Linked DNA regions of Xenopus tropicalis. The protein of the gene in region 4 interacts with the protein of the main gene of each other region in a biochemical or structural test. Links are inferred from orthologs where the notes say so. Each region holds a gene or a part of one and is shown on either strand. Other genes may lie near its edges.

Region 1 (4,257 bases), on a different chromosome or scaffold from region 4:
TCAAATTTCATTATGTATTTTAAACACAACTTGCTGCATTTTTCAGAAAAGAAGAAATTAGTGGGTTGAGTAACTCACTCAACCCACTAATTCGTTGCGGTCAGGGTCGGACTGGGCTGAGGCATTGGGGGGAACCTGGGGAGGTGCGGTGCCCCTTGGGCGGTAGCCCCGGTGGGCCCTGCACCCCCCAGTCCAACCCTGGTTGCAGTTTAAAAAAAAAGCATATAAATGCACAAAAAATGCCCAAGTGTTAGAGACCTAGAAATATAAAGCAAAGACAGATCAGTGATTCCCAATTGGGGGCTACAGACCTCTTGTGTACTGTGATACTACAGGACATTCACTTGTAAAAGAAATAGAAGTCAAATTTTCCATAGCACCTATTATTGAACTGTATTTTTTAACATGTCCTTCCCTCCCACGCTTCTGTAAAAATAAAACACACACACTATATATATATACATATATGTATGCTAGTATGCTTGTGGTGGTCTGCTGACCACAAACAGGAAACATTATAAAACAGACTACGAAACTGACACACAAAAGCATATGCATAAGTGAGCTGTACCATACATCAGGGTTAATAGAAATAATCATATACAATGGATGAAACAGCATAGTTGAATACTTCCATCTTCAGCACAACAGAGACTACACAGGAGATTCTGTAGGATCTTGTTGGATGGACAGATCACTGCATACAAATTATATTTAGTTGCATGGGTCAAAAAATAATGGGAGGATAGAAAAATCTGATGTGTAAACAACATGAAAGATTTGCCACTGAACACATTAGGTTTGTCACACACAAGAATGCTACATGCTGCATCTGCATCCTACAAGATAAAAGCTGATGGTGTCTGAAAGGTTTTTTCTCATTGAAATACACTGACTGCCATTGGACGTAAATGCAAAACAAAACACACTTTATCTGATCCGACTTAAGGTGGCCATACACGATAAGATATGCTCATTTGGCGAGGTTGACTAATGAGCGGATCTTCTTACGATATGCCCACCTAAAGTGGCCAATATTGGGCTAATCTGATCGTATGACCAGGGGCGATTCTGGACATATCGCCGCCTGAGGCGGCTCCTGGATGCCGCCCCCCCCCCCCCCCCGCTCCCCAGCGCTTACCTTCTGAGCGCAGGAGTGGGTCCGGGGGCGGTGAGTTCGCTAGTGCGGAGAGCGCAATTGCCGAATTTCCAGCTTTTTGCCGCCCCTGGTAAGTGGGGCGCTTCTGCCGCCTGAGGCGAGTTTCTCAACTCGCCTAATGGCAGAAGAGCCCCTGCGTATGACCCTAGGGCCAAATGATCAAATTAAAACGGTTGCTATATGGACTGTCAGACTGAGATCTGCATCAATGAGCAGACGTGCTCCCCGCTCCGAAGGAAAAATCAAACCTGTCCAATCGAGTCTGAATCTGAAATTTGCCAGTGTATGGTCACCTTTACGTTAAACCAGGGGAATACGATTTTGTAGGATCTTATGGGTCATATAAAGTCTGACCCACAAAATCTGTTCAAAATCTCCCATGTAGTTAAGCCCTAAAGCAACAGGTGTACAAGTTGATCTCCTATACTGTATCCTCAGTCCATTGTACAGGCATGCAAGGTGATCTGCCAAGTGTGTATACTTGCCATCCACCGTCCCATAAAGTATGACACATTTGTTTACTTCCCAACATGATTATCACATCTAATATTTCCTCCAAAACAACTGCCTGGGCTGCAAGTTCAACACATTTTGCGACCAATGCAGCAGAACTTTTTTGAACACAAGACACGCAACAATAAATGCAGAGGAACATTTGGAAATTCTTTACAAAATGATGGACAAGTGCAGCAAAATAATGACATGAATGAGCTGAGCAAACATTTCCTAGCATAATGATCATGAAAAAGGCCACACAAAGCATTGCAAAAAGGACAAAATCAGATATGTGGTGCTTATATTTGATTTCGTCCTTTTTGCAATGCTTTGTGTGGCCTTTTTCATGATCATATAATAGGAAACGTTTCCGTTAAACTTGATTTAATCATTATCCCTTGTCACACCTCAGTAGCAGCCTATACTATAGGTGGATTCTGTATCTTGTGACTTTAATATCCCCTTTGTGCATCAATTACATTGTACCCCCTTACTCTTATGCCTCACACCTTTAGGGGACTGGTAGGGCAGAGATGTCCATCCATCCTGTCACCCTACAGCTTATGATAAATGAGGACTCCCAAGTAGTCCTGTGGTGCTGAGAGTTATAGTTTATGACCAGCTAAAGAGCCACAGGTCTGACGCACCAATGGCACTGGCACTGGGAGAGTGACAGAAGAGTAGGCAGCTGAAGCCATGTGCAGGGAAAGTGCCTAATGTCCCCTCACATGTGAGCGCTCCCTAGAGCCAGCAGCAGCCTCCTGTAGGAAAATGAAGGCACTTGTCACAGAACGGAGCAGAGACAGCAATCATTTCCCCGGAGACAGAAGCTGTCAGGAACCGCGCACTAATCCCGCTCTCACCTGAGGACACAGAGGAGCCGGACAGGCTGGAGTTGCTGGAAGCAGCCATCCCAGTGCTGGACAGCAGAAGTGTAGAGGAGCGTCGTTAGCCCATGGCAGTAAGCCGCCGCCGCTGCTAGCCAGCCACCCACTACTTTCCCAGCACTTCCTGCTCGCTCACATGACGTTGGCGCTGCTGCTGCTTCTTGTGCTCCGCCGCTGGGCAGGTGTCACGGTGCCAGTGGGCGCTGCTCCCTGCTGGGACACACACTACAAGGCTCCTGTCCCTTCCTGCATGGCAGCCTGTGGCACAGCAGCACTGACAGCTCCGGAGAGGGCCGCCCCCTCCCAGCTTAGCGATCTCTCAGGCTGCACCCACTTAGCGGGAGATGGTTCTGGTGCGGTAGCCTGCTGAGAGGTGGGGCCCGTCCCCTGCTTAAACGCATCTTCTACCTGTGGCTCCATTGCTGCCCCCAGGACTGGAGGCTCAAGTTACAACTGAGGGGCCCTGGGTGCCTCATGTTTGACAGCTCTCATTATCATCCTTGAGCAGAACAGCAGCTCAGTCACATCTGGGAGACTGGCACCTTTCTGGGGCAAAGTTACCCTCAGAGACCATAAACAGAATGGGCTGTGTCCTCCCCTGTACAATAGCAAGCACTGGGGGTACCCAGAGACATGATGTAAAGGGGATCCATGGGCGTCCACAGAAAATTTTCTGGGTTGTGAAGTAAAAACAACCTGTTTTTATGGGCTAAGGCGTCCGTTTGCTAAAATTGCAAATATTCATGTTATCGAATAGTTTTGCTTTATGGCGTTTATTTTTATTGACACATTTATGACCAGATATGCATCTTCAAAACTGATAAACTTTATTAAGTGATTGTGAAGATACCATCAACAACATAATAAACACATTTTACCCAATCATAGTAACATAGTAAGTTGGGTTGAAAAAAGACATACGTCCATCACGTTCAACCATAATGCCTATATATAACCTGCCTAACTACTAGTTGATCCAGAGGAAGGCAAAAAACCCCATCTGAAGCCTCTCTAATTTGCCGCAAAGGGGAAAAAATTCCTTCCTGACTCCGAGATGGCAATCGGACCAGTCCCTGGATCAACTTGTACTAAGAGCTATCCCCCATACCCCTGTATTATCTCACTTGTACTGAGAGCTATCTCCCATAACCCTGTATTCCCTCACTTGTACTAAGAGCTATCCCCCATACCCCTGTATTCTCTCACTTGTACTGAGAGCTATCCCCCATACCCCTGTATTCTCTCACTTGTACTAAGAGCTATCTCCCATACCCCTGTATTCCCTCACTTGTACTGAGAGCTATTTTCCATAACCCTGTATTCCCTCACTTGTACTGAGAGCTATCTCCCCTACCCCTGTATTCCCTCACTTGTACTGAGAGCTATCTCCCATAACCCTGTATTCTCTCACTTGTACTGAGAGCTATCTCCCATAACCCTGTATTCCCTCACTTGCTAAGAATCCATCCAGCCCCTTCTTAAAGCTATATAATGTATCAGCCAGTACAACTGATTCGGGGAGGGAATTCCACAACTTCACAGCTCTCACAGTAAAAAATCCTTTCCGAATATTTAAATGGAACCTCCCTTCTTCTAAACGGACTGGTAAATAAAACATTAGAAATTTTATTATATGATCCCCTTATATATTTTTACATAGTTATCATGTCACCCCTTAAGCGCCTCTTCTCCAGCGTAAACAGACCCAACTTGGCC
Region 2 (3,500 bases), on a different chromosome or scaffold from region 4:
CCCTGCTTGTGTGTGCCATACTCTACCTGCCCTACCCTGCCTGTGTGCCATACTTTGCCTGCCCTATGCTGCCTGTGTGTATGGCACACATAGGCAGCATAGGGCAGGCAGAGTATGGCACACACAGGCAGCATACAGTGACACAATGCTGGCACTGCTCCTACAGTCTGCACAATAACTATGTATTAAAAAACTTTCTAATTGCAGTACCACATCAGTATATGTTCTTTTTATAGTGTGCAGAGTTTCTACTGCTCCTACAGTCTGTCTGATGTGTGAACAGTTGAACAATATGGGTGATTACAGCCTGAGCCAGTAATGATACCATTTAAAGCTTACACAAAGGTAAGCCATCAAAGCAGCCAGAAAGGTGGGGGGCCACACAGAGGGGGGTCGTGGTCCACCAGTTGGACAGCGCTGGCTTAGGGTATGCATTTGAAAACTGTTCAGGAATGATTTTGAGAAAGATGGCTCATACTTACCCCAAGATATAAAACTGTTATTACTATAAAGCGTGTCTCGAAAAAATATTAATGTGCCAGGATTAAATACTTCAATAAAAAAAACTGAATATTTCAGTATTATTATTATTCTTATATTATATAACTTAAAACAATGTCACTTTAAAAAAAGAAACAAACAAAAAAAGACCAGATGTACAGTATATCCTCCTATCTTTCTCTCTACAGTATACCAGGATCTTTGGTACCATACCGGAGCAGGTTAGGGGCCCAGACAATTGCCAAATTTTTAGTGTGCATATTGGTGATAGAGCAGTATGTCGCAAGTCTTGATAAGTGGCGCATAAGGAACTCCAGTGTTCTATTTAAATAAAAAAAATAAAAAGTTATGATTTAAGGTTCAACATAAGTGGGAAACAGCACAAGCCATAGATATTGTCATAGCACACAAACACATAGTGGCAGACTTATCTAAATGTGAGTTTAGAGCGTAACACATACAAACTTAACCATGTTCTATTCATTCCTACTGAATTATTAGAAACATATTTATTAGAATGTGGGCAAGTTATGTATTAAGCTGCCCCATGCTGTAGACCTGTGCAAATCTGACCTATAGTCACTACCCTGATTCAGTCCAGATAAGCTGTTCATAATAACATTTCTTTATCCTGGTAACTGTAATATTTAAAACTTTTCATTGTGAGCTGCTCCCACAGTAATGGGGATCAGTGGGAAAAGTCACGTCAGAGTGAAGGGCATTAGCAATAAAGCAAGTCTAAGAATAATTCAAAATCTTTCGGTATGAGTAAGGCTGCTGTGTTTCTTGATCAATGTGTTTTAAAAACAGATCCTAAAGTGATCAATATATAATTATGATTTATGACAATGTTATGATGAGGTATAATTATGTATGATTAAAATTGACAATGACATAATGTACACAACCAAATCTTAATGCATGCCAAAAAAAGGGATTGTTCTATCAACAGATGTATTTAGTTCTCTGTGTTAATAAACTCTTATTCTCAATACATCTAAAGAAATATTATTAGTGTGCATTCACTGAAAAATCTAAATAGTTATTTTGGATACAAATGTGTAATGGAAAAGCAGTCCACTAATAATATTTAGCAGCATTTTAAAAGTAAGTTCTTGGTTTCCTAAATGTGAATAAATTGAGCATGTTTTCAACTAAATATACTGTATATTTATATTTCATCCCATCAGCAATTAGGTTTGAAAGTTGCAAGTAAAACTTGCCTGCTATGTTTCTGAGGATTACTAGGAGTGACTTTTGTCTATTTTAGTCTCTAATTTCTTTAAAAATGTTAATTGTTCCATGTGCCCAGTAATGGCAAATTATTGTCTATTGTCTAAATTCTTTAATTTCTTGGATGCCTTCTACAAAATTTGGAAGTTAGTTACTACAAGACCTGCTACGTTTAAAAAGCTAAACTGTGTAGTGGCTGGCTCTTCTACTTATCTGCTGATATACAGAAAGGTTTAGAAGCTTGCCTTCATGACTAGTAAAAAAAAAATTATAATCGCACTGAACTTAGCATCTGCCCAGTACCCTGCTCTGACCAGGTCTGTTGTTGCCCTAACCACAAGCAAGTTATAGGAATTGTCTCTCTGCCGTTCTGCCCACTCCTACTGTAAAGCAGAAAACAAGGTCAGACGCCAGGCCAATTTCATTCTTGGTCAGGGCAAACACAGGGTCTGCCAGGTAAGAGAAGCAAGATGCACTCAATAAGCAAGCAATGCTTGGGAGGGCTGAAGCACTAGAGCTAAGTACCATACTAAAGAAGTTTTCTAAAGCTGGCCATACATGGTAAGATCTGCTCGCTTGGCAATGTCGGCCAGATGTCAGACGGCAGGCCTGTCGTTCATGCCCATACACAGGCAGATAAGCTGCTGAATTGGTCTAAAGGACCACATTAACAGTTACCCACTTGATTTGTTAAAGCTTGCTTTTTCTTACTAAAGACATTTGCCCATTCAAATATTAGAAAATAACAGTAAAAAATTAGTGATTTGGCAATTAATTCAGGGGAATGGGGGACTTTTAGTACAGGAATGTTGTGCCTATGTATGCAGTATTAAGAAAAGCAGACATACAGTAACAACAGTAGATGAAAGGCCTTAACAATCATGCCTTTTCATGATCATGTTTTATCTAAACATTCCTTTATGCTATGTGAGCAAAAAGAAAAAGTCAAAATAAAGGCTCAACTCTACTAGACTGTAATATCTTACATGTGCTTAGAACTCAAAGTATATAATGGTTAAAAACCCTCTTGATTATCAAATTGTGATATAAAGCATAAACGAAAACCACCTTAAACACACACACAGACTTAGGGTCTTTGAACTAACCTGTAATGAGGTGGGGGAAGCTGTTGAATAACATCATGAATTTTCACCAGTCTCTCTTCATCAGTAGCCGCTGACACAGCATCCTAAAAGAAAGAAAAGCACAGAACAGGGAGTCAAAAATTTTGCATAGTATTTTAGTATAAGAACTTTCCAAACAAAAACATAATACTGTTTTAACCATCTACTGCCACAGATGAAATATAAACCCGACAGCCAAGCACTGTAGATTTTACATTTACTGGTTCTTTGCTAATTTATGTGAATAACATATTGCTAAGCAATGCACAACTTTGGGCTCTGGTACACGGGGAGATTAGTCGCCCGCGACAAAATATCGCCACTGGGATGGCATACGCGGCGGTGCGATTTGCGGCAACGAGAGGCAACTTCGGCGTTCGCGCCGCCGCGAATGCCATCCCACCGTGTACCAGAGCCCTTAAAAATTAATGTAATGAAAGGTGCAAATCCATAGAAACCAATCAGCAGCTATCAATTACTAGTCACCCGTTTGAAAACAGACATCTGATTGGCTATTATGGGTTTCAACACCTGGGCAAATGGTTACCATTGTCTTAAATTACGATGATAGCATCTTACGTGGCTAGTGAGTAAAAGGCTAAGGGCTGTGACAGACAGGGAGATTAGTCGCCGCACGACAAA
Region 3 (3,973 bases), on a different chromosome or scaffold from region 4:
GCCCCCACCCACCCTACTGCCCCCACCCACCCACCCTACTGCCCTAACTCCCTGCTGCCCCCACCCACCCACCCACCCTACTGCCCCTAACTCCCTGCTGCCCCCACCCACCCACCCACCCTACTGCCCTAAACTCCCTGCTGCCCCCACCCGCCCGGTACCTGACACACACTCTCACACACACTCTCACACTCTCACACACTCACACTCTCACTCACACACACTCACACACACTCACACACACTCACACACACTCACACACACTCACACACACTCACACACACTCACACTCTCACTCACACACACTCACACACTCACTCACACACACTCACACACACACACTCACACTCACACACACTCTCACACACACACACTCACACACTCACACACACTCACACTCTCACACACACTCACACTCACACACTCACACTCACACTCACACACTCACACACTCACACACACTCACACACACTCACACACTCACACACACTCACACACACTCACACACACTCACACTCTCACTCACACACACTCACACACACTCACACACACTCACACACTCACACACACTCACACTCTCACTCACACACACTCACACACTCACTCACACACACTCACACACACACACTCACACTCACACACACACTCACACACACACACTCACACTCACACACACTCTCACACACACTCACACACTCACACACACTCACACTCTCACACACACTCACACTCACACACTCACACTCACACTCACACACTCACACACTCACACACTCACACACACACTCACACACACACACACACACTCACACACTCACACTCACACTCACACACTCACACACTCACACACTCACACACACACTCACACACTCACACACACACACACACACTCACACACACACACTCACACACACACACTCACACACACACTCACACTCACACACTCACACACACTCACACACACACTCACACTCACACACTCACACTCACACACTCACACACACACACATACTCACACTCACATACTCACACTCACACTCACACAGTACCCCGGTACCTGACACACAGACGCCGCTTCCGGTCACATGGGGGGAAGGTCACAGGGAGATAACGCGAGAGGAGGGGGAGTGGCTCAGGCGGATCATGTGACCTTGCTGGAATCACGTGACCGGGGCAGCTGAGAGAGAGAGAGAGAGGGAGGAGCCGCGGTACCGGGTAACACTGGGGGAACTGGAGGGCACCACGAACCGGAAATACCGGGACCCCGGAGACTATGTAAGGCCCAGGGTATCCCCTGTCCTACCCCCCTGTCCTACCCCCCTGTCCTACCCCCCTGTCCTACCCCCCTGTCCTACCCCCCTGTCCCACCCCCCTGGGGCAATCCCTGTCCTACCCCCCTGTCCTACCCCCCTGTCCTACCCCCCTGTCCTACCCCCCTGGGGCAATCCCTGTCCTACCCCCCTGTCCTACCCCCCTGTCCTACCCCCCTGGGGCAATCCCTGTCCTACCCCCCTGTCCTACCCCCCTGTCCTACCCCCCTGGGGCAATCCCTGTCCTACCCCCCTGTCCCACCCCCCTGTCCCACCCCGGAGACTATGTAAGGCCCAGTGTATCCCCTGTCCCACCCCCTCTGTCCCACCCCCTCTGTCCCACCCCCTCTGTCCCACCCCCTGTCCTACCCCCCTCTGTCCCACCCCCCTGTCCTACCCCTGTCCCACCCCCCCTGTCCTACCCCCCCGTCCCACCCCCCTGTCCTACCCCCCCTGTCCCACCCCCCCTGTCCCACCCCCCCCTGTCCTACCCCCCCCTGTCCTACCCCCCCCTGTTCCACCCCCCTGTCCCACCCCCCTGTCCTACCCCTGTCCCACCCCCCCTGTCCCACCCCCCCTGTCCCACCCCCCCTGTCCCACCCCGGAGACTATGTAAGGCCCAGTGTATCCCCTGTCCCACCCCCTCTGTCCCACCCCCTCTGTCCCACCCCCCTGTCCTACCCCTGTCCCACCCCCCCTGTCCTACCCCCCCGTCCCACCCCCCCTGTCCTACCCCCCCTGTCCTACCCCCCCCTGTTCCACCCCCCTGTCCCACCCCCCTGTCCTACCCCTGTCCCACCCCCCCTGTCCCACCCCCCCTGTCCCACCCCCCCTGTCCCACCCCGGAGACTATGTAAGGCCCAGTGTATCCCCTGTCCCACCCCTCTGTCCCACCCCCTCTGTCCCACCCCCCTGTCCTAACCCCTGTCCCACCCCCCCTGTCCTACCCCCCCCGTCCCACCCCCCCCTGTCCTACCCCCCCCTGTCCTACCCCCCCTGTCCCACCCCCCCTGTTCCACCCCCCTGTCCCACCCCCCTGTCCCACCCCCCTGTCCTACCCCCCCTGTCCTACCCCCCCTGTCCTACCCCCCCCTGTCCTACCCCCCGTCCTACCCCCCGTCCTACCCCCCCGTCCTACCCCCCTGTCCTACCCCCCTGTCCTACCCCCCCTGTCCTACCCCCCCTGTCCTACCCCCCCTGTCCCACCTCCTGTCCTACCCCCCTGTCCTACCCCCTGTCCTACCCCCTGTCCCACCTCCTGTCCTACCCCCTGTCCTACCCCCCCTGTCCTACCCCCCCTGTCCTACCCCCCTGTCCTACCCCCCTGTCCTACCCCCCTGTCCTACCCCCCCGTCCTACCCCCCCGTCCTACCCCCCCGTCCTACCCCCCCGTCCTACCCCCCCTGTCCTACCCCCCCTGTCCTACCCCCCCGTCCTACCCCCCCTGTCCTACCCCCCCTGTCCTACCCCCCTGTCCTACCCCCCTGTCCTACCCCCCCCTGTCCTACCCCCCCTGTCCTACCCCCCCCGTCCTACCCCCCCCCGTCCTACCCCCCCCTGTCCTACCCCCCCTGTCCTACCCCCCCCTGTCCTACCCCCCTGTCCTACCCCCCTGTCCTACCCCCCTGTCCTACCCCCCTTGGGCAATCCCTGTCTGTTACTGTCATTGGTACCTACCCCCACCCCGACAATATCTGCCCGGGGTACCTACCCCCCTAACTATAACTGCCCAGGGTATCTACCCCCCTAACTATAACTGCCCGGGGTACCTACCCCCTAACTATAACTGCCCGGGGTACCTACCCCCTAACTATAACTGCCCAGGGTACCTACCCCCCTAACTATAACTGCCCAGGGTACCCACCCCCCTAACTATAACTGCCCAGGGTACCTACCCCCCTAACTATAACTGCCCAGGGTACCTACCCCCCTAACTATAACTGCCCAGGGTACCTACCCCCCTGCGTGTAATCACTGCCAGTACTAATGAATGGTCTGTGTAATGGCCTGTTACTGTCATTGGTACCTACCCCCCCCCCCCCACCCAAAAAAAAATATCTACCCAGGGTACCTGGGACAGACACAGGGAAAGGGACAGACACAGTGACAGTTACACATAACTATAAACCCAGTGAGAATGAGGAATGAATGGATATTGGGGAGTTGTATCAGGAGTCAGAACCAGCAGTGCAGGGAAGGGAAAGGGACAGACACAGTGACAGTTACACATAACTATAAACCCAGTGAGAATGAGGAATGAATGGATATTGGGGAGTTGTATCAGGAGTCAGAACCAGCAGTGCAGGGAAGGGAAAGGGACAGACACAGTGACAGTTACACATAACTATAAACCCAGTGAGAATGAGGGATGAATGGGTATTGGGGAGTTGTATCAGGAGTCAGAACCAGCAGTGCAGGGAAGGGAAAGGGACAGTGACAGTTACACATAACTATAAACCCAGTGAGAATGAGGGATGAATGGATATTGGGGAGTTGTATCAGGAGTCAGAACCAGCAGTGCAGGGAAGGGAAGGGACAGACACAGTGACAGTTACACATAACTATAAACCCAGTGAGAATGAGGAATGAATGGGTATTGGGGAGTTGTATCAGGAGTCAGAACCAGCAGTGCAGGGAAGGGAAAGGGACAGACACAGTGACAG
Region 4 (4,060 bases):
AACAAAAAAACAATTGTTTTTCTATTTTGTGTGCCTTTTTCTTGTGCGTCTTTTAGACAAAATGATACACAAGTTAAGCTTGGCCACCAAGTTGCCTAATAATATGCTGAACAAGTCGCCATGTCCACAGGAAAAAATAATTGTCTGATTGATAGTCTTAATGAGGAAAGAGAATATACACAATGCAGCCATAAGCAAATCGGTACTGGGTGTTAAGCTGCTGTTTACTGAAAATGAAGAAGATTTGTGATTGGGAGAGCAATAACTGAACTGGGGAACAGTGAGGACAGAGGGCACCATAGCTACAACATGGTAACACCCAAAAAGTATAAGGGAATGATGCTAAAGAAACTCTAGGACAGTGATCCCCAACCAATGGCTCATAGCAACATGTTGCTCACCAACCCCTTGGATGTTGCTCCCAGTGGCCTCAAAGCTGGTGCTCATTTCTGAATTTCTGGCTTGGGGCAAGTTTTGGTTGCATAAAAACCAAGTATAATGCCAAACAGAGCCTTCTGTAGGCTGCCAGTCCACATAGGGGCTATTAAATAGACAATTATTGCTCTTATTTGCACCACCAGGAACCTTTTTTCATGGTTGTGCTGCTCCCCAACACTTTTTCCATTTGAATGTGGCTCACTAGTATAAAAGGTTGGGGATCCCTGCTCTAGCATATAGATGTAGTAATTTAGCCAAGTTTGCCTAAAGAGATGGACAACCTCTGTGTAAGAACAATCAGCACTCCATTGACTGGCACATAAATAATATTTTTGACAGCAATACAGTTACACTGCACAAACACCATACAAAATTTACCTTAAGATTATCAAATGATCTGAAAAATCAGGAAACATACAAAATACCCAACTAGCAGAGCTGAACTGATTGGCAAGTTACTAAAGTGCTAGGAAATGCCATCAGTGCTGCCCCACAAGTTGGGTTTCCTATTACTGGTCCTGATTTTCAATTGTTCTAATAACCTTATTTATCCTAGCTCTCGGGGGCACCATCCCATGCCTGCCTGCCACTAGTGGTACCCTATGAAACACATAATGCGGCATTATGGATGCAGCCAAATACAATTCATGTGACCGAGGCATTTGTGGCACATGTACCCTGCATTTAAACTGACGAGAAGACATTTAAAAATACCCTCATATACTAGAAAGGAATATTGTCTAAATGAATGTCTTGTTTACATGTCGGGGCAGGGACCTCCTTCCTACTGTGTACTTAAATTGTAAGCTCTACGGGGCAGGGACCTCCTTCCTACTGTGTCTCATGGCACTTATATATATATATATATATTAATTGTATTTATTTATTATATCACTTGTCCTCCCTTGTATTCTGTGAGATTGTACAGCGCTGCGTACCCTTGTGGCGCTTTATAAATAAAGTTATACATACATGTCCACTTGATGCTGGAACTATACAATAACATTTTGAATGGACAAATTTACAGTCTATTAAATCAAAGCCCAGGACAAAGAGAGAAACCATAGTAAGTAGAAAATATAACAGCTTAAATAGCAAAGGAAAGATTTAAAGTACATTACCCAGTGAAGTTTCAATATATCTAACCATGGAGTGAGGAACATGAGCCGATCTGGTCTATAATATTGACCATAATCATACGTATGCATCTAACAGTGTTTTTCCTACCATTTTTCAAGGGAAATAGGCTCTAGCAACGGTGATTACTGGGAGAACACACACTGCCTCTGGCATAGGAGGACTCTTCTTCCCTTGCAGCAGGAAGCATCAATCTAGAACATGTTCCATGCTGCAGCTATAGCCTTAGGGCACTGAAATCCAAGAATGTAAAGCAGCCCATATGAACTGAGAGGGTTTTGCTCTATATTCTGTATACATATACTGGGGGGCACAGCGCATCAGCACATGAGGAAGTGAAGGGGAGATGAAACGGCGCTTTACTTCCTGGTGCTCCAATCGTAACAATGGGAGGGTGGCCGTATAACTGTATAGTCCCTCCTGACGTATCTTTCCATTCGCTCCTGGGTTGATTGCTGGATATTGATGAGTATCAGTTAGTAACCGGACATCTAATATATATATATATATATATTTTTATTATTTTTTTTACACTACAGGATTTAAGACTCATCACTGCGGACGAAGGCACCTTGGCCCAAACGTTATCCATTTTATATAATATTAGCACTATAATTTGCTGACACATTTACAATATATTACAAACATGGACCCTTATGCCAATTGTGCCCCCAGCACCCAGGGAACAGCTGGAGGGCAGCAGTAAAAATGAAACCCCAAATAAATATCTAGTAATCAGAGACCTGCAGAAAGATTTATCTAAGAAACCCAATGAAGAACGAAATGAGTCCAACCAGCTGTTATGAACTACAGTATCCGACATCCTCTGCGGGTCTTGTAGTCCCCAGCAGCTGGGCCGCTATGAGGCTGACATGCCACAGTTCCAGCCGAGGAAGGTGAAAATTCCACCGCAGAAGAACGCGTAGATCCCCAGAGCCCCAGGCCAGACGCGACACACTGCGATTCAGCGTCTAACCCCATTCATTCGAATTAAAAATAAGCGATAGAAGCCCGTCACTTACCCGTCTCCCACGACCACACATTTAATGGCCTGCATGGCTGCGCTGGCAGCGGATCTCCCTGCAGCCCGGGCGCAAAAGCGGATACAGATGAAGGCTGTACGTATGGCCCAAGCAAGCTAGGCCGCGAAAGGGCTTCAGTAGCTCAGAACACACCCTCTCTCTCTCACTCACGACTCCTTCTCCTTTGCTCTCCCTTCAGCGTCTATGAAGGAAAAACCTAGAGCAGCCAGCGCCCGACAAAATCAACTCTTCGGCGAGATAACAGGAAGCTTCCCCGCCTGCGTCACTTCCGGCCTCGCCTCGAAAGCCCGCGGGAGCGAGTGGGGCGCGCCCAGGAGTCGGGAGCGCGCATTGAGTGACGTCACTCCCTTAGCTCTTCTGTCGGGCAACTGGCTGGCGGCGGAGAGTTATGGGAGGTGGAAGGGTAGTTCCAGGGTTCTTTTAAGTATTAACATGAATATTAAAGATGTGTCAGTTTTACCTTTATTTTCTCTGTAACATATGTGGCAGACCAGCAAAAGCGCTCTCTTTCCCCTGCCTCAGGGGGAAGAAACAAAAATACCGGGGCCGCTGCTGGCCAAATGGGTGCCCTAAGCAGAAATTTACTTTTGTGCCCCCTCTCCCAAATATTACGGAAGTAAAAATAAAATAAAAAAAAACACCTACTATGGGGGCCCCACACACAGTGCCCCCAATTGCCCCCATAGACAATGCCCCCATAGTAAGTAAGTTATAATATAGAAAAATGTTTTTTTTTTTGGAGTAGCTGGGATGGTGCCCCCCTGGGAGTTGGTGCCCTATGCAGACTGAGTACTCTGCTTATAGGGAGCGGCGGCCCTGAAAAATACAAAAATAGACAATGCTTGATAATTGCCTCTGTGTTTTTGCAAATGCAGCTGTTAGTATTGTCTATGGCAGGGTATATTCTGGCGCTTAGTAGCCCTGACAATAGCTACTACTAAGTAGCTTCCTATGTTTTTATCCTAAGGGCCATGACACACGGAGATTAGTCGCCCTGCAACAAATCTGTGTTGTTGCGGGCGACTAATTTCCCCGCAATGCTATCCCACTGGCTAGAATGTAAATGTAAATCCGGTTGGATGGCATACGCGGCACCGTGATTTGCCGAAGTTGCCTTAAGAGAAAGCTTTGGCGACTTCGGCAAATCACGCCACCGGTGATGTACATTCTAGCCAGTGGAATGGCATTGCGGGGAGATTAGTTGCCCGTGACAATGGAGATTTATCATGGCCCTAAAGCTACATGTATTTTAGGTGGGTTTTAGGCCCTTCCAATAATGGGGGGGTCATAATTAGGTTAGACATGGGAAGGGGGGCACTCGCTGTGAGTGGTGGGGTCCCAAAAAGAGTGACTGACCCCCAAGAAACGTGACTTGCCTCCTTAGCCAGTTCTCTTATGCTATAGTTTCTAAAAACATTTATTTTAATGGAATAATTGTAAAA
Region 5 (3,500 bases), on a different chromosome or scaffold from region 4:
AAGCAATGCAGGAAATGCCTTCTGCACAACCTAAATCCTCACCAATATTGAATTTATTAAGATGTTCAATCTCAGAGGCAAAACATTTTGGGGGTAATTTTGATGTTGAGGCATATTTTGCATAATTCAGAAACCTTCCTGTGTTACCCTACGTATTTGTGTGTGCTGTCTGTAATTGATTTGTATGGAGACTATCACAAGCTGGTAAAGGCACTTTACTATAACAGGTATAGGAATCAATTTAAGCAAGTAATTCTAATTTTTTTCCCTTTTCTGAAATTACAAACCAGTTCCTTGTATTTTATCCCAACTAAGATGCACAAATTATAGAAATAATACCAGATTCTGAGTATTGCAGATAATGTATCAAAACCTATATGATAGTTGTCCCATGGCGCAGGTTGCATTTCCGCAATAAAGAATTTTTTAAGGGCAAGGCCCGTATGTAGCTCTTGAGTGCCGTTGCTGTTTGCTTGTTTGGAATCTGTGGGGAGGGTGCCGATCCCTCTCTAGCATTGTGCGCCGAGCGGTGAGTTTCCGTTGGAGGGCTGAGGGAGTGCGGGTTTGGATTCGTTGCTTGCCATGGCGCAGGAAAGACATCATTTACATGTCTATGAAGATTTTCATTCATCCAGGTCATGGTATATCTAGTATAAATAAATTTAAAGCAACTGGACTTGTTAGGTAATCATTGAAGACATTTCCTGTGCCATGGGACAACTATCATATAGGTTTTGATCCATTATCTGCTCGGATGAGTAGTGAAACGTCTTCAATGATTACCAAATAAGTCCAGTTGCTTTAAATTTATTTATACTAGATACATCATTTACATGTTTTTATGCAAAAATATTTTCTATACAAAAGCAACACTTTTTGACCAGTCATATGTTAACAGCTAGCTGTTTTATCAGTAACAGTGCAATTTAGAGTAAGGTCAGTTCCAAAATGAAGCCAAGTTGTTTGCTCTATAATTTAAAAAGGAACAGTAACACCAAAAAAATGAATGTATAAAAGTAATTACAATATAATGTACTCTTGCCCTGCACTGGTAAAACTGGTGTGTTTGCCTCAAAAAGACTACTGTACTTTTATATAAACAAAGCTGCTTTGTAGCAGTGGGGGCAGACAGGTTTGGGCCAACACACAACTTATCCAGGTCGAGCGTGGGTTCTGGCCGAGCCACCGGCAATGGCTGTTTATATATGCGAACCTGCCTCACTTTTCCCCCTCCATGATATTAGAGATGGGGAGGGCATGTGTATATAAATGGCTGCAGAACAGAAGTGCGGGTTGGGTGCTGGTTGGGAGAGGGCGGATTAGGGTCTTGTGCGGGTTAAATTGTGTGAGGGTTATATTTTTCATGCAAAGCCCATTTGAAATCTTCCTACATCATCTCGGATGAATTTAGATTTGGACTTTGACTTGGCCTTTCCAGAATCCTTCATTTCTTTCCACCTTCATGCTTTACAGTTGGTATCAGGTTCTTCTAGTAAAGCGCTGTCTCCTGGTATTGTGGCCAAATAATTTTACCTTTGCCTCATCTGTCCAAAGGTTCTTGTCCTTGTCAAATTAGAGTCTTACCCTGATATTTTTTCTGGACACCATAGGTTTCCTCCATGCACACTTCCCATGTAGATCTAATTTACACAGTATTTGACATCAGTAGTGGTGAGGGGGCTACCTTAGGTCCCATGATAAAATTCTGGTGTTGTGAGCTTCGTTCAGTATTTTGCCTTCTGGGCCTGAGCCGAGAACTGCCAACTTGCTTGGGCCAGACCAAGTTGGCAGTTGATTGAAATGTTCTCCAGTTGTGTATGGTGTTCTGGATAGTGGAATGATTGATCATTTTAAACCCTACTATAGAGGGTCCATCCAGACCCATGGCAACAGGGGACCCAAGGGGGGGGGGGCGGCATGGGAGACATATATATATATATATATATATATATATATATATATATATGTGTGTGTGTGTTTTTTTGACTAGAAAATTAACACTCTTTTACACTTTTTGTCTAGATCGGACTTTTCTGCAAGAATCATGTCTGATAACGGGGAGCTTGAAGATAAGCCGCCAGCTCCTCCAGCTCGGATTAGCAGCACAGGGACAAAAGATCCTCTGACCAGCAACCACAGTCATAAACCTTTACCTTTAATCCCTGAAAAACCCAGGAATAAAATTATTTCAATGTTTTCTGGCACAGAAAAAGGTAGGATATATCAGTTGGTTTTCTCCTCATAGAAGTCTAATTTTAGAGTGCATGCCTATTTTTTATGTAACTATGAAGGGAACTATTATTTTGTGTGTGGAAGTAATACATATAAACAGTACTTAAGTGGTATAATATGTACATTGCCAATACCCCTTCCCAAGTTAGAGGCCTTCCTCCCCATGAACACAAGCATGTAGTACCAACTAGCAGCTGGTTAGGTTTTGCTAGTACAACAGGTTTTTTTTTTTTTTTTCTTCTTCAATTACAGCTACTAAACTTGAAAATAATGTAACTGAATAGCTGAGATGTAGCTCTATATGAAACTGATACTGCAACTGTTAAGGTGGCCACACGTGGCGATTTTTGATCTTTCGTGCATCGAAAGATCGTTCCCACCCTCCACAGACGTTCAGGGCTGAATCGTCAGATACGGAGGTAGAAAAAATAGGATTTTTACCTCCTTCTGCCGATTCAGCCCTGAAGGTAGATTTTGCTCAGGCGTCTTCAATGACGCCCAATCAAAATCTTTTAACCCGCCCGATCGGCGAGTTGACCGATATCGGCAGTCGTCTGTGATATCGGTCACCTCGCCGACTAGCCAGCTTTAAGGGCCCCAATGGGAATTTGATTTGTTTAGGGAAAATGTCTTGTCTCCAAAAGTTAAGGGCCAGTGATCATTGGTCCGTGGAGCCCAATAACTAGTTATTACACTGCTGAAAAGTTCATGTAGGGGTTACTCATAATTCAAAATTAGTATAGATCCCCTTAAAATCCCCTTTCTCCTTGTAATAGCAGTAAGTAAGATAGTGATGTGCACTTTACCGGATTAATAATTAACGGACCTGGTAAAGTGTTTCCATTTTTCCACAACAAATGGTTGTAAAAGCTATAGAGATTTTTGCATGTATGCCATCCCCTAAAATTAACTTTTAAGGCTGTGGGAGGATGCTCAAAGGAGTTTGTTCATAACCTCCTGAGGGGAAATTTTGTTTAAATAATAGACTTTAAAGCTAGCAGTTAGGCAGATTTTTTTTTAAAGGAAAAGGTTGACCTTGATGGGGGGTATGTAATTTTTTTTCCAACCTAGATTACTTTGGTTATCCAGAAACAAATGTTTTAATGGTGAGACTTGGTTAAACAGCAGTTATAAATAACTATGAGCTATCACCTGTAAATTACATAAGCAAGCAGTTTCCCACAGAATTCCACTTCTTGTGCCTGCAACGGGACCCAACAACTATTTCTCTGAAGTTATCAAGTATGGACTCTCCCAATATGTTTTAC
Region 6 (2,528 bases), on a different chromosome or scaffold from region 4:
GGCCAATATATATTTATCCTGGAAAATCCTCCTTTTTTCAGACATAAGCAGAATGGTCATAGCATTGTGCAACCATAGCTACATTGTCCTCTAAAAAGCCAAGGCAAGTGCATTAAAAGGCAAGAATAATTTCCAAATAATATGGGATGCCTAAAGGTGGCTATACACTGATCCGCTTGTTTGGCGAAGTGGACAATATTGGGCTAATTTGATTGTTTGGCCCTAGGGCCAAAAAAACAGCGGGTATAGTGTCACATACGTAATAAATACCTTTAACAGTAACAAAATATGAAAATAAACTCTATCCATCGAGTGAGTGAGTAATATTACTCACCCACTCGACGGGTATTGGGCTTGCATGACTCTGTCCTCTAGCAGTGATTAGGTACCTCTCTTTTCTCTCTTCTACTTACTGTAACATGTCTGATGTTGCCCCGTTACACTTTGATTTCTTTACTGATAATTAGATTTTAGTTTAATATTTCGTTACTGTTATAGGTATTCGTTATGTTTGTGACACTCTATAACCACCTCTTAATCTGTAGTAGCTTGGAGTTTCAAGATGATCAGATATATGTTCTTTGCACTGTCTATCCTACTGCTTGTGTACAGAGGTTTCCTTGATATATATATATATATATATATATATATGTATATATATATATATATATATATATATATATATATATATATATATATATATATAAAGAATATGTATTAAATGCACTGCTATTTAGATATGTGTGTAAAATGTATCTAACTAGCAGTGTTTTTAATAACACCACATTCCTGATTCTATCTGCAGTAGGACATAGTGCCCTTTTGCAGCGGTTTGCTGTAGAATTATGCAGTATATTTTCATTTCCTGTTTTTATTATCTCGCTGGCTATCAAAAAGGCTATAATACAATATTTATAGAACTGTCTATAACCGCAGCAGCAGCTGTTTTTTTTTTGTTTTTTTTTTTTAGAGCAAGGTATTTCCAGTCAAATCACATATGAACTGTAGTTTATCAGTGGCCCAATAACACACCCTTCCTACAGTTGCAGATTATGCATTTAAAGTGGACCTGTCACCCAGACATAAAAAGCTGTATAATAAAAGTCCTTTTCAAATTAAACATGAAACCCAAAAATAATTTTTTTATTACCACATCTATACCCATTATAAAAGCATTTTAAAATCCCAGCTGTCAATCATATATTGCCTGCCCCGCCTCTATGCCTTAGGCATAGAGGCAGGGCAGACACTTACTTTCACTTTCAATTCAGAACTTCTTAGATGTTGCTGCTCTCCTCACATTCCCCCTCCCTCCTCACCATGTAATTGTGTAATCAGTGCATGGATATGGGCATCAGGTCCCTCCACACTGGCACAGAAACAAGATTTTGGCAGGATGCAATGCCTGCTTTGATAACAGTGTCCACAAAATGGCCCCCGCCTGCTTACTGCTATTGTGAATTCCAAGGCTGAAGAAAATAAGATTAAAATAATTTATATAGTGTAAGTAAAGTTTATTTTGCTTGACAAACACAATAGAAAACAATTTGAAATTATTTCTTAAGGTGACAGGTCCGCTTTAAGTAGGCTTCTAATATGTAGAATCACTTGTGAGGTATAATTCATCACATTTCAGTTTATTGATCTTGCGCAATAAGTTTTTCAATAATCATTTTGTATGTTCTACTTCACACAAGACTAACAATATTAAGTCGGTGTTGCTTTATGCGTTATGTACATTGCTATTTACCTTGGAATTTATTAATTTCATTGCAGTTCCCGTGTACCTCATGGTGGCTTTGCATATATCATGGGTGGAAGTGGGCTACAAAATTTCACCATAGCAGCAGTAGCATATACACCAAATCTGTTGCCAACGTCAAGCACATGGTAGGTATAGATATGAACAGAAAGTACCAGCCGGATTTATATATATATATATATATATATATATAATATATTATAAAAAGTCCTCACGACAGCACTTCATTCCAAAATGCTAGTAGATAGCCGCCCTTGTGCACAGAATACAAAATAAAACACAGCCAGCACCATAGTTCAAAACAATCTTAATTGTATTGCAGGCTGTATATGCACATGTAAATATACTTTTTTGATTTTGTTGCAGTGTTGCTGGTCTTTTTTGTATGATATATATATATATATATATATATATATATATATAGATATAGATATAGATATAGATATAGATATAGATATAGATATAGATATAGATATAGATATAGATATAGATATATATATAGATATATATATAGATATATATATAGATATATATAGATAGATATATAGATATATATAGATATATATATATATAGATATATATATATATATATATATATATATATATAAAAATGTAAACTCTCCAGTGGAGAAATAAAAGTCAGCAGGGAACTTACAATTTTATGCCCAATTCCAAGTACATGGATCTTGGTGTGGATTGGCAAGCCACCATACATCTACTGAAAGTTGTGCAAAATAATATTATAGCTACTTTAGGCTTAAGATAT
Region 7 (3,500 bases), on a different chromosome or scaffold from region 4:
ACTGATTTTATTCAGTGAATCTTCAGTGGCTATGACTAGAGCCTCACTGTTCAGGCATATCTGTTCTCTGTTTATATGAGAAATGACTGCACTTGTATTGATCTGTTAATTTTTATTGGGGTGACAGGTAAAACACCAGTATTTACCAAGAACATTTCAACTTCCTTCCTAGTGGGTAAAGAAAGGCAATTTGAATATACAAAGTCCATGGTCCTTCCAGTTTGCCTTCTTTCTAATTATTAAGGGCCAACCACTTGATTGATCAAACTCTACTTGATTGACTGAAGTAATGCAGAATATAAAACTGGCTAGAGGAGTACTGTGTCTGATTAATCACAGCAGCTATGTTGTTCTTTGTATTGCAATATAGTTCCCTCTAGGTGGGGGTGTCGACAGTTGGTTATGGGGTGGGGCATTATATTATTGGGGTCATTGACAAGATGTAAATTGAACTCTTCTTACCAAGCACTACTCCCTGGGTTATCTTATAGCCTGTACAAAGATTCCATACATGTATTCTTGCGTAAGTATTTATCTGCTTTGAGCAAACATTTGTGCTGAAGATTTGAGGGTGCTGTGGCCCTTTATGCTTTTTTACTGCTTGTCTGAGAAAAAAGTATGATGTTTATTTTTGTACCTGTTTGTTTCAGGACTATCACCCAGATCGACCAGATATCCAGAAGTCTATGACTGCATTTAAGAATCTCTCTGTAAGATAAAATCATCTATATATTTAGGGAAAGAGTCAGGCTTTGAATGTATACCATGTGTTTAGTTTACATTTATTTTTATTTTGGTGATATGATGTACACTGGACTTGTTCTTGAAATATTTCCTTTTATACATCTGGCTACCACAGGGTGTAGTTCATGCTTAATTACTACTTTTTCACAAGTAGGTTTTGTACTTTTTTTGTTTGTTAGTATGCTTTTTTTAATCCAGCATTTTTTGTCCTACTAAAAAAAACAGTGCAACCGTGCTGTTAAGGCTGATGCCAGACGTGACGTAGGGCTGATATTTTCGGCAAGCGGAAAAACGCTTGGCGAAAATACAGCCCTACGCCTGCTACTTGTGCCTGCACCCAAATGAATGAGATACGCTCGGGTGCAGACACATGTAGCCGATATCCGCATGAAAACGCGAGATAATGCAAAGTCTCGTGTTTTCATGCGTATATTGGCTACATGTGCCTGCGTCTGGCATCAGCCTTAGATTGCTGATATCAGCCTGCGAGATCAGGTGAAACCTTTCTGCGACTCACAGCATGAATGCTGCTGAATAACATATGTACGAATAAATATATTGGCAAAAAAAATAACAACAAATAATGTTTACAAAACCAAGGTTTTCGAGATGGGGCTCTTCGTCACCTGGCTGGAAATCTCCTCTCCCATGGGTGATGAAGTGCTCAACAACACCTGGCTCTTCACTTTCCCTGGAATTGTCCAAAAATGCAGAAGAAGGCATTTTTTAGATTTTTAGGGAATGATACATGTAATGTGTTTTACATGTGGAAATTTTAGGGAAGGTTTAGGGGCAGGTATTGGTGGACACTTCATCACCTGCCAATACCTGCCATGTTAGCACCCTGTGTCCTTAAAGGAGAAGGAAAGTTAAAATTACTGGGAGTGCCAACTGTTAGGCACTCCCAGTGATCACTGTGGGTGCCTAATACCTCTTCTCTACTATACACGTGCTGGGGAAACAGAAAAAAGAAGCGGGGAAAAAAAGATCGCTATTTGGTGCTCATACAGAGGTTACCCAGGGTACCGGCCTAGAATATAAGATAAGTGATTATAATGACTGGGTGGTGGCTAATATTCAGCAGCCCCCAGTGATTTTAACTTTCCTTCACCTTTAAACACCTGCTACTATTTAGTAGAATTTTTATAATCTAAGAAAAAGCACAAACATTAAAACACTGCTTCATAGAAGTAAAAATGTAAACCCGGCACCAAACTCAATCTTATGTAGCAATAAAGCAAGTTTCAAGTAATCTTCACATCTCATGTGCCTCTCTATAACTTATTTCCTTTCATGTTTTTTTTAATTTCAATGATTAATTGTTTATTTAATTGGAGTCTCTAGCAGGAACAGAATATGGGGCATTATTATGAATTATTGCTGATTATGTATAGAGCAATAAATTAATTCCATTATTTAATTACAATATTTATTTTACTCTGTGCACTGAAGCATCAATTATCTTAGCACTTTATAGTAAGAAATTGGTGCTACATAAGCATTTGAAGTCTGGGTTTTATTTATAGTTTAGTAATAACCATTATTTGCTTCTATAGGCGCAGTGTCAAGAAGTAAGAAAAAGAAAAGAATTGGAGCTGCAAATCCTGACAGAAACCATTCGTGGATGGGAGGGGGAAGACATTAAGACATTAGGCACAGTTATATACATGTCCCAGGTTATGATACAATGTGCAGGAAGCGAGGTAATTACATATAGTTACATAGTTACATAGGGTTGAAAAAAGACCATTGTCCATCAAGTTCAACCCATCCGAGTAAACCCAGCACACAACCTATACTAACCAATCTATACACTCACATACATAAACTATATATATACAACCAGTAATACTAATACTAACTAATAATTGGTGCCTGTTTAGAACTGATATCATAGTCTTATGATATATATGTTATTAATTTGTCCATTACTTTTATAGAGCTGCTGATGGTGCATTATGCTCAGTTTAAAAATATGGCATTTTCATACATAAAAGGCTATGTCGGGTGCTTTAAGTTCCCTACTTTTTGGTACCCCTTAAATTCAGTCCCCTTATACTTGAAAGCTCTCAAAGCAGCCCACCATACATTTTTATGTTAATCGCATAATTGTGTCAACTCTTTGCATTTCCAGAATACTATCCCTTAAGAAGTGTTGAAAAAACATGGCACTAAAGAGCCTAAAATAGGCTTGTGTGCAATTGCTCTTTGAAAACTACTTGTAAATAAAGTTGACTATACACTGGCCGAATGAAGAGATACTGATCAAGTGTTGATACACGTGTATAGTCACCTTCACATTCCAGCCAATGGGCTGAACTGCAGGTAGTGAAGTGGAGCTATGGCATTTATTCACTTTCTCTTCTGCTGATGTACTCACCAGCATGGTGCACAGGCACATAAAAGATTGCAGGATGATCAGTTGAACTGCAAGCCATGTATGGCCTTCATCAACTCTGGATGTTATTTACTTCCAATGCATGGATCTTATATGCAGAGCAAAATTCAAAACATGAAGCACCTGTGGTACTGCATATAAGGTTCTGTAATAGTGCATTAATAGCCTGCAAGTAATTGTATCCCTATAAGATTATGAGGTATACATATGAGGATAATTTTGTCTGTAGAAGAATAAAGAAAATGACCTGACCACAATTTTTTTTGATTGGCACCTAAGCTGCAATTTTACACTGGCTGTCTTCCCTACGTGTGCGTGCTCACTTGGTAGCTGGAAGGCAGGAAAAAGGATGCAAGGT

The links.
Region 1: the proteins of rac1 (region 4) and chn2 form a complex in vitro, tested with the Homo sapiens proteins (2 studies listed by BioGRID). The link is inferred for Xenopus tropicalis from reciprocal best matches to the Homo sapiens genes RAC1 and CHN2.
Region 2: of the proteins of rac1 (region 4) and arhgap32, one has a biochemical effect on the other in vitro, tested with the Homo sapiens proteins (3 studies listed by BioGRID). The link is inferred for Xenopus tropicalis from reciprocal best matches to the Homo sapiens genes RAC1 and ARHGAP32.
Region 3: the proteins of rac1 (region 4) and arfip2 form a complex in vitro, tested with the Homo sapiens proteins (2 studies listed by BioGRID and IntAct, with this or other methods). The link is inferred for Xenopus tropicalis from reciprocal best matches to the Homo sapiens genes RAC1 and ARFIP2.
Region 5: the proteins of rac1 (region 4) and pak2 form a complex in vitro, tested with the Homo sapiens proteins (2 studies listed by BioGRID and IntAct). The link is inferred for Xenopus tropicalis from reciprocal best matches to the Homo sapiens genes RAC1 and PAK2.
Region 6: of the proteins of rac1 (region 4) and hace1, one has a biochemical effect on the other in vitro, tested with the Homo sapiens proteins (5 studies listed by BioGRID and IntAct, with this or other methods). The link is inferred for Xenopus tropicalis from reciprocal best matches to the Homo sapiens genes RAC1 and HACE1.
Region 7: the proteins of rac1 (region 4) and arhgef7 form a complex in vitro, tested with the Homo sapiens proteins (2 studies listed by IntAct). The link is inferred for Xenopus tropicalis from reciprocal best matches to the Homo sapiens genes RAC1 and ARHGEF7.

Annotation. Positions count from the first base shown.
Region 1 is NC_030682.2:43,310,564-43,314,820, reverse strand, and holds the start of chn2 (beta-chimaerin), read right to left. Parts: upstream 2,801-4,257; 5' UTR 2,567-2,800; coding exon 2,518-2,566; intron 1-2,517.
Region 2 is NC_030683.2:72,452,810-72,456,309, forward strand, and holds part of arhgap32 (rho GTPase-activating protein 32), read right to left. Parts: intron 2,924-3,500; coding exon 2,841-2,923; intron 823-2,840; coding exon 715-822; intron 1-714. UniProt on the Homo sapiens protein: GTPase-activating protein (GAP) promoting GTP hydrolysis on RHOA, CDC42 and RAC1 small GTPases. May be involved in the differentiation of neuronal cells during the formation of neurite extensions.
Region 3 is NC_030678.2:180,359,225-180,363,197, reverse strand, and holds the start of arfip2 (arfaptin-2), read left to right. Parts: upstream 1-1,173; 5' UTR 1,174-1,273; coding exon 1,274-1,275; intron 1,276-3,973. UniProt on the Homo sapiens protein: Plays a role in constitutive metalloproteinase (MMP) secretion from the trans Golgi network. May have important functions during vesicle biogenesis at certain cargo subdomains, which could be predominantly utilized by secreted MMPs, such as MMP7 and MMP2.
Region 4 is NC_030685.2:25,457,283-25,461,342, reverse strand, and holds the start of rac1 (ras-related C3 botulinum toxin substrate 1), read right to left. Parts: upstream 2,801-4,060; 5' UTR 2,633-2,800; coding exon 2,598-2,632; intron 1-2,597. UniProt on the Homo sapiens protein: Plasma membrane-associated small GTPase which cycles between active GTP-bound and inactive GDP-bound states.
Region 5 is NC_030681.2:129,792,990-129,796,489, reverse strand, and holds part of pak2 (serine/threonine-protein kinase PAK 2), read left to right. Parts: intron 1-2,022; 5' UTR 2,023-2,044; coding exon 2,045-2,213; intron 2,214-3,500. UniProt on the Homo sapiens protein: Serine/threonine protein kinase that plays a role in a variety of different signaling pathways including cytoskeleton regulation, cell motility, cell cycle progression, apoptosis or proliferation.
Region 6 is NC_030681.2:80,251,619-80,254,146, forward strand, and holds part of hace1 (E3 ubiquitin-protein ligase HACE1), read left to right. Parts: intron 1-1,776; coding exon 1,777-1,890; intron 1,891-2,528. UniProt on the Homo sapiens protein: E3 ubiquitin-protein ligase involved in Golgi membrane fusion and regulation of small GTPases. Acts as a regulator of Golgi membrane dynamics during the cell cycle: recruited to Golgi membrane by Rab proteins and regulates postmitotic Golgi membrane fusion.
Region 7 is NC_030678.2:116,924,943-116,928,442, reverse strand, and holds part of arhgef7 (rho guanine nucleotide exchange factor 7), read left to right. Parts: intron 1-650; coding exon 651-710; intron 711-2,300; coding exon 2,301-2,447; intron 2,448-3,500. UniProt on the Homo sapiens protein: Acts as a RAC1 guanine nucleotide exchange factor (GEF) and can induce membrane ruffling. Functions in cell migration, attachment and cell spreading. Promotes targeting of RAC1 to focal adhesions. May function as a positive regulator of apoptosis.